Macaca mulatta: one gene and its partner. The protein of the gene in region 1 binds, or shares a complex with, the protein of each later gene. Links are inferred from orthologs where the notes say so. Each region holds a gene or a part of one and is shown on either strand. Other genes may lie near its edges.

Region 1 (3,817 bases):
GTGATCCCTCACTAATTCAAGTAGCCAATGTCATAAATAAAAAGTCTGAATTTTTTCTATTTCCCTTTAACAATGTCCCCTCCAATTCTATTCTATTCAAATACACTGGTGCCAGCCCCTGTGCTGGATGCTAGGGATACACAATGGAATGTCACTGTTCTTGCTCTCAAAAAGTTAACCAGATGTCAATAATTGGGGAATTATTAATTGTGGAATTACAGTTAAAAAATCCATTTTTCTACTTTTGGACAAAGGGCATTCTTCATGACCTACAAATAATACTACATAAACAACAACTGATGTTTCTACATATGGCCACTCTGGTCTCAATATATTTAGCATCTGTACATTTGTTTAATGTAACTATGTACCAAGAGTTATGTTGTCCTGTGTATATATCATATGATGAGTTATTTAATCCCTCTTAGAATAATGCCAAGCACGTAGTATCCTCTCCATTGATATTTGTTAAATGAATAAATAAAAGCATATGAATGATTTTCAAACATTCCCTTAAAGCAGATCATTAAAATTTGCTAGTTTTCTTAAGAAAATGCATCTGAAAACTTTTTCACTTAAAATATCATGCATGAAAAAATTAAGCACAATTAACTCAAAATAGTGGTTGCCTCTGTGAAAAGATAGGAACATAGGATATGGAAAGAGTAACAAGACCAGAAAATGGTGTGCAGAGACAGGCCCTTTCATTCTTACTTCTATATTCTTTAGGTGAGCATTGGTAGGCTCAAAGGATTTTTATTCTATTAATCTCCATCATTTTATGTATCAAAATACTTCATAATTTTTAAAAAGTTAAAGGGTCTGTTTGGGTAAGTTATACAAATTATTCATAATTGCCCTTAATTATCAGATTTTGTACATATGTAAACTGTAAAATAAGACAAAACTGTATTATTAACTTCTTTCCAAATACTTTGTGAATGTCCTCTTTCTACATAAAACACAACCTCATCACTGCCACTGTAACTTGCATGCTTGGCATCTTCCAATTCCCCAAACGTGTCACTCACTATCTTCCCCATCACCTCCAAAGAGTGAGTTGTTTCAGCAGGTTAATTTGTTCCTGTACTTGTAAACAGACTTACAATGTGGCATAGTCATTTCTCATGACTTTAACACATCTGCCCCACTGGACTATTCCCTGAAGGCAAGTACTCTTTTATTCATTTTCCATTCCCTTGACCTAACCCAAAGTAAGTGCTCAACAAATGCTGTAGATCTATCTCATATATTTCTCTCTCCTTCTTTTTAAAAAACTGCTGCTGCTACCTGAAGGCCATTCCTAAGCAAGCATGTGACCTCAATTTCACCTATGGAAGATCACCTGTCAAAAATTTATGTTTGAAAAACACAAAATACTTGCTTGTTCATTTCTCACAGCCATCAGCTTCCATGTTAGAGAAATTAAGTCAACATTATCCCAAATCTCAGCCATTAGTGAGATATATAAACATCACGTGGTATAACATAGGACATTAGATTACTTACCAATAAACAATATTGGAAAAGTGATAAACAACAGAAAGACATGTGGGACCAGGTTGAGGGCATCCACAAAGCAGGAATTTTGTAATACACCATCATTAATATTATATGAAGAAATGTTGTTACCACAAAATGAAAGGCTCATTTCTTCTTATATGGTTTACTCTAAAAGGGAGAGAAATGAGAAAGAAAAATCCGCTTATTAGTAAACTCATGTTCATAAAATTATAGCCTTGAATAGGAGGCCATATCATACAATCAATCCCTTTTATTTTGATAGCTGAGGAAATAAGAAACTGTGCCAAAGCAACTTGAAGGTTTCTTATAAAGGCCTTATACGTCCTATGAGATCTTCTTTTCTATAGATTTTACTTCCAGAGAAATATGCTTTCATGTGGAAAATGTTTATAATTAATATCCACCTATAGTAATACCTCAAATGAGTGTCTGACTAAAATGCTTTCAAAGAACAAAAATGGTCTATATGAAGAAAAAGAAGGAAAAAAATTGAACCAATGACTAAAAAGTCAAAATGATATAATTTCAAATATTTTCCCATACTCACTGAAAATGTACTAATAAACAACTAAAGTTGTTCAGTAAACTGTGACAGAGTTTCCTGAAACATTTCACTAGTTGTGGGAAATACTAATATACAGAGAACAGTGTGCCTGCAGTAATGGCTAAGAGTAATCGGTCTTTCCCTGAAGAATACTAAAAATCAAATGCTCAAGATGAATTAAACCTAACTCAAATGACAAGTCAATGAAACTACTCAGATTCTATAGTTAGAATATTCTCACATGAAATACACTCTACTCAAGTTTGAAACGTAGAATATCTTTTAATTGGAAATTGGTACTCCATAAGTAGAAGTAGATGAGTTTAGAGCAGAAACAGAGGACAAGGTCACACCGTGCTTTGTAAGTCATTGTCAGGATTGTGGCTTCTACTCTTAGTGAAGTGGGCCACTGGGGATTTTGGGGCAAAGGAGTGACATGCTCTCACTTACATGTTAAATGGTTCTCTATTATTGCTGTGCCAAAACAGATGGGAGATGAGCAAAGGTCTGCTCCATCAAAATACTGCTGTGAGATTCCAGGAAAAGCTTTAACATTCTGAAAACTTATTTTATAATACCTACTACTTATTTAAATTCTGGGCACTTTGCATATCTTAAATCCTCAGAACAACCTTGTAACACTAGTGGTGTTATTCATCTTTTACAGTGGAGGATACTAAGGTCCAGATAAGTTCAGTAACTTGCCAACCAGTAGAGCAGCCAAGCCCACACCCAAATGTCTGACTTATAAACTATTTCTTTCCACTGTATTACACAACCTCCAACCTGCTTTTTAAAGAAAGTATCGTATCTATTCTTTAAGCCAAGAAGCAATTTAAGATTTTAACCTCACTAGACCTCGTTTCCTTTCTATATTTATGTCGCACTGTATTCTGAGTTGCATTACTAAAAGTTGGCAAAAATTTTCTTTTTTTTTTTTTTTTTTTTTTTTTTTTTTTTTGAGACGGAGTCTTGCTCTGTGGCCCAGGCTGGGGTGCAGTGGCCGGATCTCAGCTCACTGCAAGCTCCGCCTCCCAGGTTTACGCCATTCTCCTACCTCAGCCTCCCGAGTAGCTGGGACTACAGGCGCCCTCCAACCCGCCCGGCTAGTTTTTTTGCATTTTTTAGTAGAGACGGGGTTTCACCGTGTTAGCGAGGATGGTCTCGATCTCCTGACCTTGTGATCCGCCCGTCTCGGCCTCCCAAAGTGCTGGGATTACAGGCTTGAGCCACCGCGCCCGGCCAAAAATTTTCTTAACTAGCATAGTACCTTTTCTTTCTTTCCTTTCATTGATAATTGATTTAGCAATGGTCACAAACAATACTTTTCCTAGGAAAAACAGAGTGTTATACAGAAAAGGTTGTCAATGGTAGGTAAATTATTAGAGAAATCAAATTTCAAGCAAAGGTTTTATAAAGCATTATATGAATACCTCAGCTAAAGAGTCTGTGTATTTACAATCTTAAATACTTATACAGAATGCCTCTCACATGTTGTTCCTGATAAGCTCTTTTTATAATAAATAACTGATATGCTCCCTAGTTGAGTCTGTCCTCCATCTTTTTTTTAAAAAAAGTTGTATTTTTAAAACCTTAAGGTTAAGTTATACACTTGGTAAATTCTTACAAGCTATTAAGGTTTTAATCTGGATAAAAGAATAAAAGGGACTTGAAGTTTTTAAACAACAGCAAAATGGAAGTTATGAATTTATAGGTGTATGTTAGGTATATTTCTGGCAAAGACAGACA
Region 2 (4,278 bases), about 160 kb from region 1:
TAATTGATATAATTTATCTCTTTCCACCTCCCAACAACAAAAAAAAATTAAGAAACAAATCACCTCAACTAAATGTTCTTAAACCATGTGAAAGTAAGAGAGGAGAATCACTGAAATCAAATTCAATTTACCTGCCTTTGAGATACTTATGATATGAGAAAGAAGCCAAAGTTAGGTATCTAAGAACTGTCTTGTCCCTATTCTATTTAAACTTTGAAAGGAAGAGTACAAAATTAAATTGCTTTTATATAACCCCTTCCATAAAATTTTGGACTAATTTTCATTAAAAAATTAGCAATTTCTAGTTCTGAATCTTAGCACAACTTTTAATTTCTGAATCTTATGCAAGCACTTAGCTATGTTATGATAATCTCGATAAAGAAGGGATGATATTTATTTCATTTTTTAGTAGATTTTTAATCTAGGACACTCTCCCCCTAGGGCCTCCCTATTTTTTTTTCTTATTATTTCTGAAAGTGTCATGGGTTAGAAGAGTCATAGAAAAATGTCCACTAGCACAATATTTTTTTTATTGATCAGAGATATTTACCTGTGGACACTGAAAGTACGGACAGCAGCTTTTTCATACTGAACTAAATGTGCGTGCTTTTGGAGTAAAGCACTCTGTGTTATCCTCTGAATTACAATTTTTTTTTTTTTTTTTGATAACTGGTACAACATTTTCAAGGCTAGTCCAAAGGACTGAAGCTCAGATTTTCAGAGACTCTTCATCCATAAAGTTGCATTTAAAAAAATATTTACTGTGTTAGGTTTTGTTCTTTATTGTGCTTTTTTGTTTCTGGAGATTCTAAAACAAACCCTTTATTTCACTTTCAATTAAATAACAGAATGATAAGAGAAAAGGCATTTTGACATTTTTTTCTCTACTGTTTTCAACCCCTGCCTCATCCCACTACATTCTTACCTGACATTAGTCACACACACAGTGGACTCCAAACTACTTTTCTCCATTCCACTTTTCTCCATGTAAGCATAGATATCCCCATGGGCAAAGGCCACCAGCCACCACATGATAGCGAAGAGCAGCCAGCTGCAGAGGAAGGACATGGTAAAGATGACCAGCGTGTGGCGCCATTTCAGGTCCACCAAGGTGGTGAAGATGTCCTGCAGAAAGCGTCCTTGCTCACGGATGTTCTTGTGCGCCAGGTTGCAGGCCCCGCTCTTGGCGATGAAGCGGGCTTTGGGGAGGCGGTCTCGGATGCGCGGCTTGCGCAGGTTCTCCGCGGCGATGCGCGCCAGCACATACTCCTCCGGGATGATACTCTTTCTGGCCAACATCGTCCTGTCACCATAGCCAGCTTAGCCACCTGCCTCTCACCTGCCTCTCCGTCCCTGGACACCCGTCCTCCTGCACGAGGGAAACATTCATTAAAAACTTAAAAACCCACCCTATGCTCACCTCTTGGTCCTTGTATTCAAGGACAGGTTTGTACATGCGCGAGGTGACATGCAAAACCAAAACTGTGATTTTTCACTAACCCAAACATGAATCTAGCTTGTGCTTGAGTTCTGGGATCTCAGAAAAATTACTTGGTTTTAATAAAAAGAACTGTTCCAATTCTTCTTATCATTCTGAACACATATGGGCATAGCCTTAGCTAAACAAAACCAAGAGCCTTCCGGTAAACAGCAGGCTCAAAGATAATTCTCTGCGATGAACCGCGTCTGTAAATTAGTGCAAGGCTACAGCACGTGGCGTCAATCAAGAAGATTAAGACCAGTTGGGTGCACGATCTACTTACTTATTAAAGTACTTAGATGATGTAGCAATATTAAAAGTAAAGAGGGGAAATTCTTCCTCCGTTATTTTTAGAAGTAAGCAAAGGCCGTGACTCCTTGCGCAGTATAAATAACGTGTAATCTGACAAAATTATAAGTGATGTGCTATAGAATTTATAAATTATAAGAATTATTTTAAATGCGAAAGAATGAGTTGCATCTAAAAAAACAGTTAAAAAGGTTCCTATGGAAATCATAATATTATAAATTGAAAAATTGAAAACTTTTTTTTTTTTTTAAACAACGAAGGAATCAAATATACAAGGTGCGGGGGGAGAAAAAAAAACCCCAGACAACAGCCTGCGGGTTGCAGTAGGGAGTGCACCCCGAAAAGTCCATCCAACACTGCAAGCCTCTCCGGTGTTTTGCATTTTAAATCATTTATGGGAACGCAGACAGCCTCCCCCTCCCCTCCCCCGGAGCAGCTTTGAAACTTACAGACTCCGGGCAGCGGGCGCGGCGGCTGGACCTCCTTGCACACGCCGGCGGGCCGCGGGCAGGTCCCTCGCTCTCCCATCCTGGCGCGCGGGACCAGGGGCCGCCCAGGCCGGAGGGACAGATTGGGGGCTGCGTGTCCTATGGAGAAGAGTTAAAATAATAAAAGGTGCAACTGAATCTAAACGCAGGGAGGGCTAGAGGAAGGGGGATGGGTGTCGATCTTCCCCTCCCCCTGCTCAGCTCAACTCCTTTGGCCACTTCAGTGGGAGGAGGAGGGACTGGGGGGGCCGGGGGGGATGCTCCACAAATCAGCCTCCCAGTTAGGGCTTTGACGCACGCCAGACCTCGGAAGCCGCCGCTGTCGCGGAGTAGGGGGCGGGCGGGGAGGGGGCGAGCGCGAGTCCCCGGGAGGTAGGGAGCAGGCCAGAGGGAGGGACGACCCGGGGGAGGGCGGGACCTGCAGAGCCAGCTCCTTTCCAGTAGCCGCGACCCCCTGCTGCCAGCGTGACACACAAGTCTTTAAAAGGCTCTCTGCTCAGGGGAGAGAACTTTCTGAGTCCAAGTTCACTGACGCAAGGAGATTTAATTTTAATTTTATTTTGTAACCTAGGTAGATAACTGGGCTTCTTCATGATAACTGGGCTACTTCTGACTGAATCAAAGCAGAGAAGTCAGAAAATATTCTTCCAAGGCGTTCAAGCTGTGGGCACACGCAATTATTTACATTAAATTTCCACCTGCTAGGAGAGATGCAGGTGGAAGATGTTCTGAAACCCACTGTAGTAAACTATTTCTTCACCAGCCAAAGCCACTCTTCAGGGAATTACACACACACACACACACACACACACACACACACACACACACACTCCTCAAAACAGCGACTGCGCCCCCCCCGCCCCCCGCCCTACCCCTTAAAAAAAAAAAAAGAAAAAAGAAACCACTGGCAGTGGTTCCCGATGAAGAAATTTTGCCCCAAACAGGGACCGCCGTTAACACTTCAGCGCTGATAAGGCCTGGTCATTCGGTCTTCAGTAATTGGTTGCTTTCTGAAATGTTGCAGCTTCTTCCTCTGTCTAGATGGTCTGCATGATAAAACAGAGCATTTGCGTACAAAAAAAGGTTATACAATAACCATCTATAGCTTTTTGAAAAGGAGCCAGCGAAGACAAATGTGCTTTTTCCCACAGGTCAAGCCTCCTGATTTTGGCACTTGCGTTAATGGAAACTTTAATTCTTGGAAGTTTCACGTATTTTCCAAGACTCGGGCCGAAAGTGTATGTAGCATAAACAATGTATTCATTTAATTACCCAAAGACCTAAAATTAGTCTTTAATGAAGACAAATTAAGAATATTTTTTTCCCCTTGTGGTTAGATCTCCTTAACCCCTGTAAGCCCAGGATCCTAGTTTGTTAGTGGTAGTCCTCCTCTCTACGGTCATTAATTTTTGCAGTAATTTATGTAGTATAATAGTTTTACAACTGTATGAAGAATCAGTCAATTCCCGCCATTGTTCTATTTTATTTTTGACTTTGTACACATTATTATTCATTATTTTAGCCCGGGGAACATTTATTGCACACCTTTGTAAACTTTTGTTAGGTTTATGTGTCTAGAGATATGTAAATATATGTCATAGTTGTTGCTTTTAAGAGGCAGACAGTTTTAGCAAGAGAGATATACTCTAATATAAGCAGGGATGTGATTAGAATAGGAAAGGAAAGGCCAGGCCCGGTGGCTCAAGCCTGTAATCCCAGCACTTTGGGAGGCCGAGACGGGCGGATCACGAGGTCAGGAGATCGAGACCATCCTGGCTAACAGGGTGAAACCCCGTCTCTACTAAAAAATACAAAAAACTAGCGGGGCGAGGTGGCGGGCGCCTGTAGTCCCAGCTACTCGGGAGGCTGAGGCAGGAGAATGGCGGGAACCCGGGAGGCGGAGCTTGCAGTGAGCTGAGATCCGGCCACTGCACTCCAGCCTGGGCGACAGAGAGAGACTCCGTCTCAAAAAAAAAAAAAAAAAAAAAAAAGAATAGGAAA

Evidence for each region.
Region 2: the proteins of ABCC9 (region 1) and KCNJ8 are in contact, whole or in part, in a cryo-EM structure (PDB 7MIT), measured with the Rattus norvegicus proteins. The link is inferred for Macaca mulatta from reciprocal best matches to the Homo sapiens genes ABCC9 and KCNJ8. Residues at the interface, in XP_038963045.1 of Rattus norvegicus: Phe5, Ile10, Tyr13, Asn14, Ile15, Val19, Asn22, Cys24, Phe25, Ala28, Leu29, Val32, Val35, Phe36, Phe39, Phe42, Pro43, Ile44, Phe46, Ile47, Gly48, Trp49, Gly50, Ser51, Lys55, Gln57, Ile58, Asn129, Phe130, Lys132; in NP_058795.3 of Rattus norvegicus: Met1, Leu2, Lys5, Ile7, Ile8, Pro9, Glu11, Tyr12, Val13, Leu14, Ala15, Arg16, Ile17, Ala19, Glu20, Asn21, Leu22, Leu45, Ala46, His47, Lys48, Asn49, Gly54, Arg55, Phe56, Leu57, Asp59, Ile60, Thr62, Thr63.

Annotation. Positions count from the first base shown.
Region 1 is NC_133416.1:24,365,034-24,368,850, forward strand, and holds part of ABCC9 (ATP-binding cassette sub-family C member 9), read right to left. Parts: intron 1,672-3,817; 5' UTR 1,652-1,671; coding exon 1,510-1,651; intron 1-1,509. UniProt on the Homo sapiens protein: Subunit of ATP-sensitive potassium channels (KATP). Can form cardiac and smooth muscle-type KATP channels with KCNJ11. KCNJ11 forms the channel pore while ABCC9 is required for activation and regulation.
Region 2 is NC_133416.1:24,205,739-24,210,016, forward strand, and holds the start of KCNJ8 (ATP-sensitive inward rectifier potassium channel 8), read right to left. Parts: upstream 2,818-4,278; 5' UTR 2,696-2,817; intron 2,691-2,695; exon of another isoform or gene 2,377-2,690; 5' UTR 2,239-2,376; intron 1,370-2,238; 5' UTR 1,300-1,369; coding exon 926-1,299; intron 1-925. UniProt on the Homo sapiens protein: Inward rectifier potassium channels are characterized by a greater tendency to allow potassium to flow into the cell rather than out of it.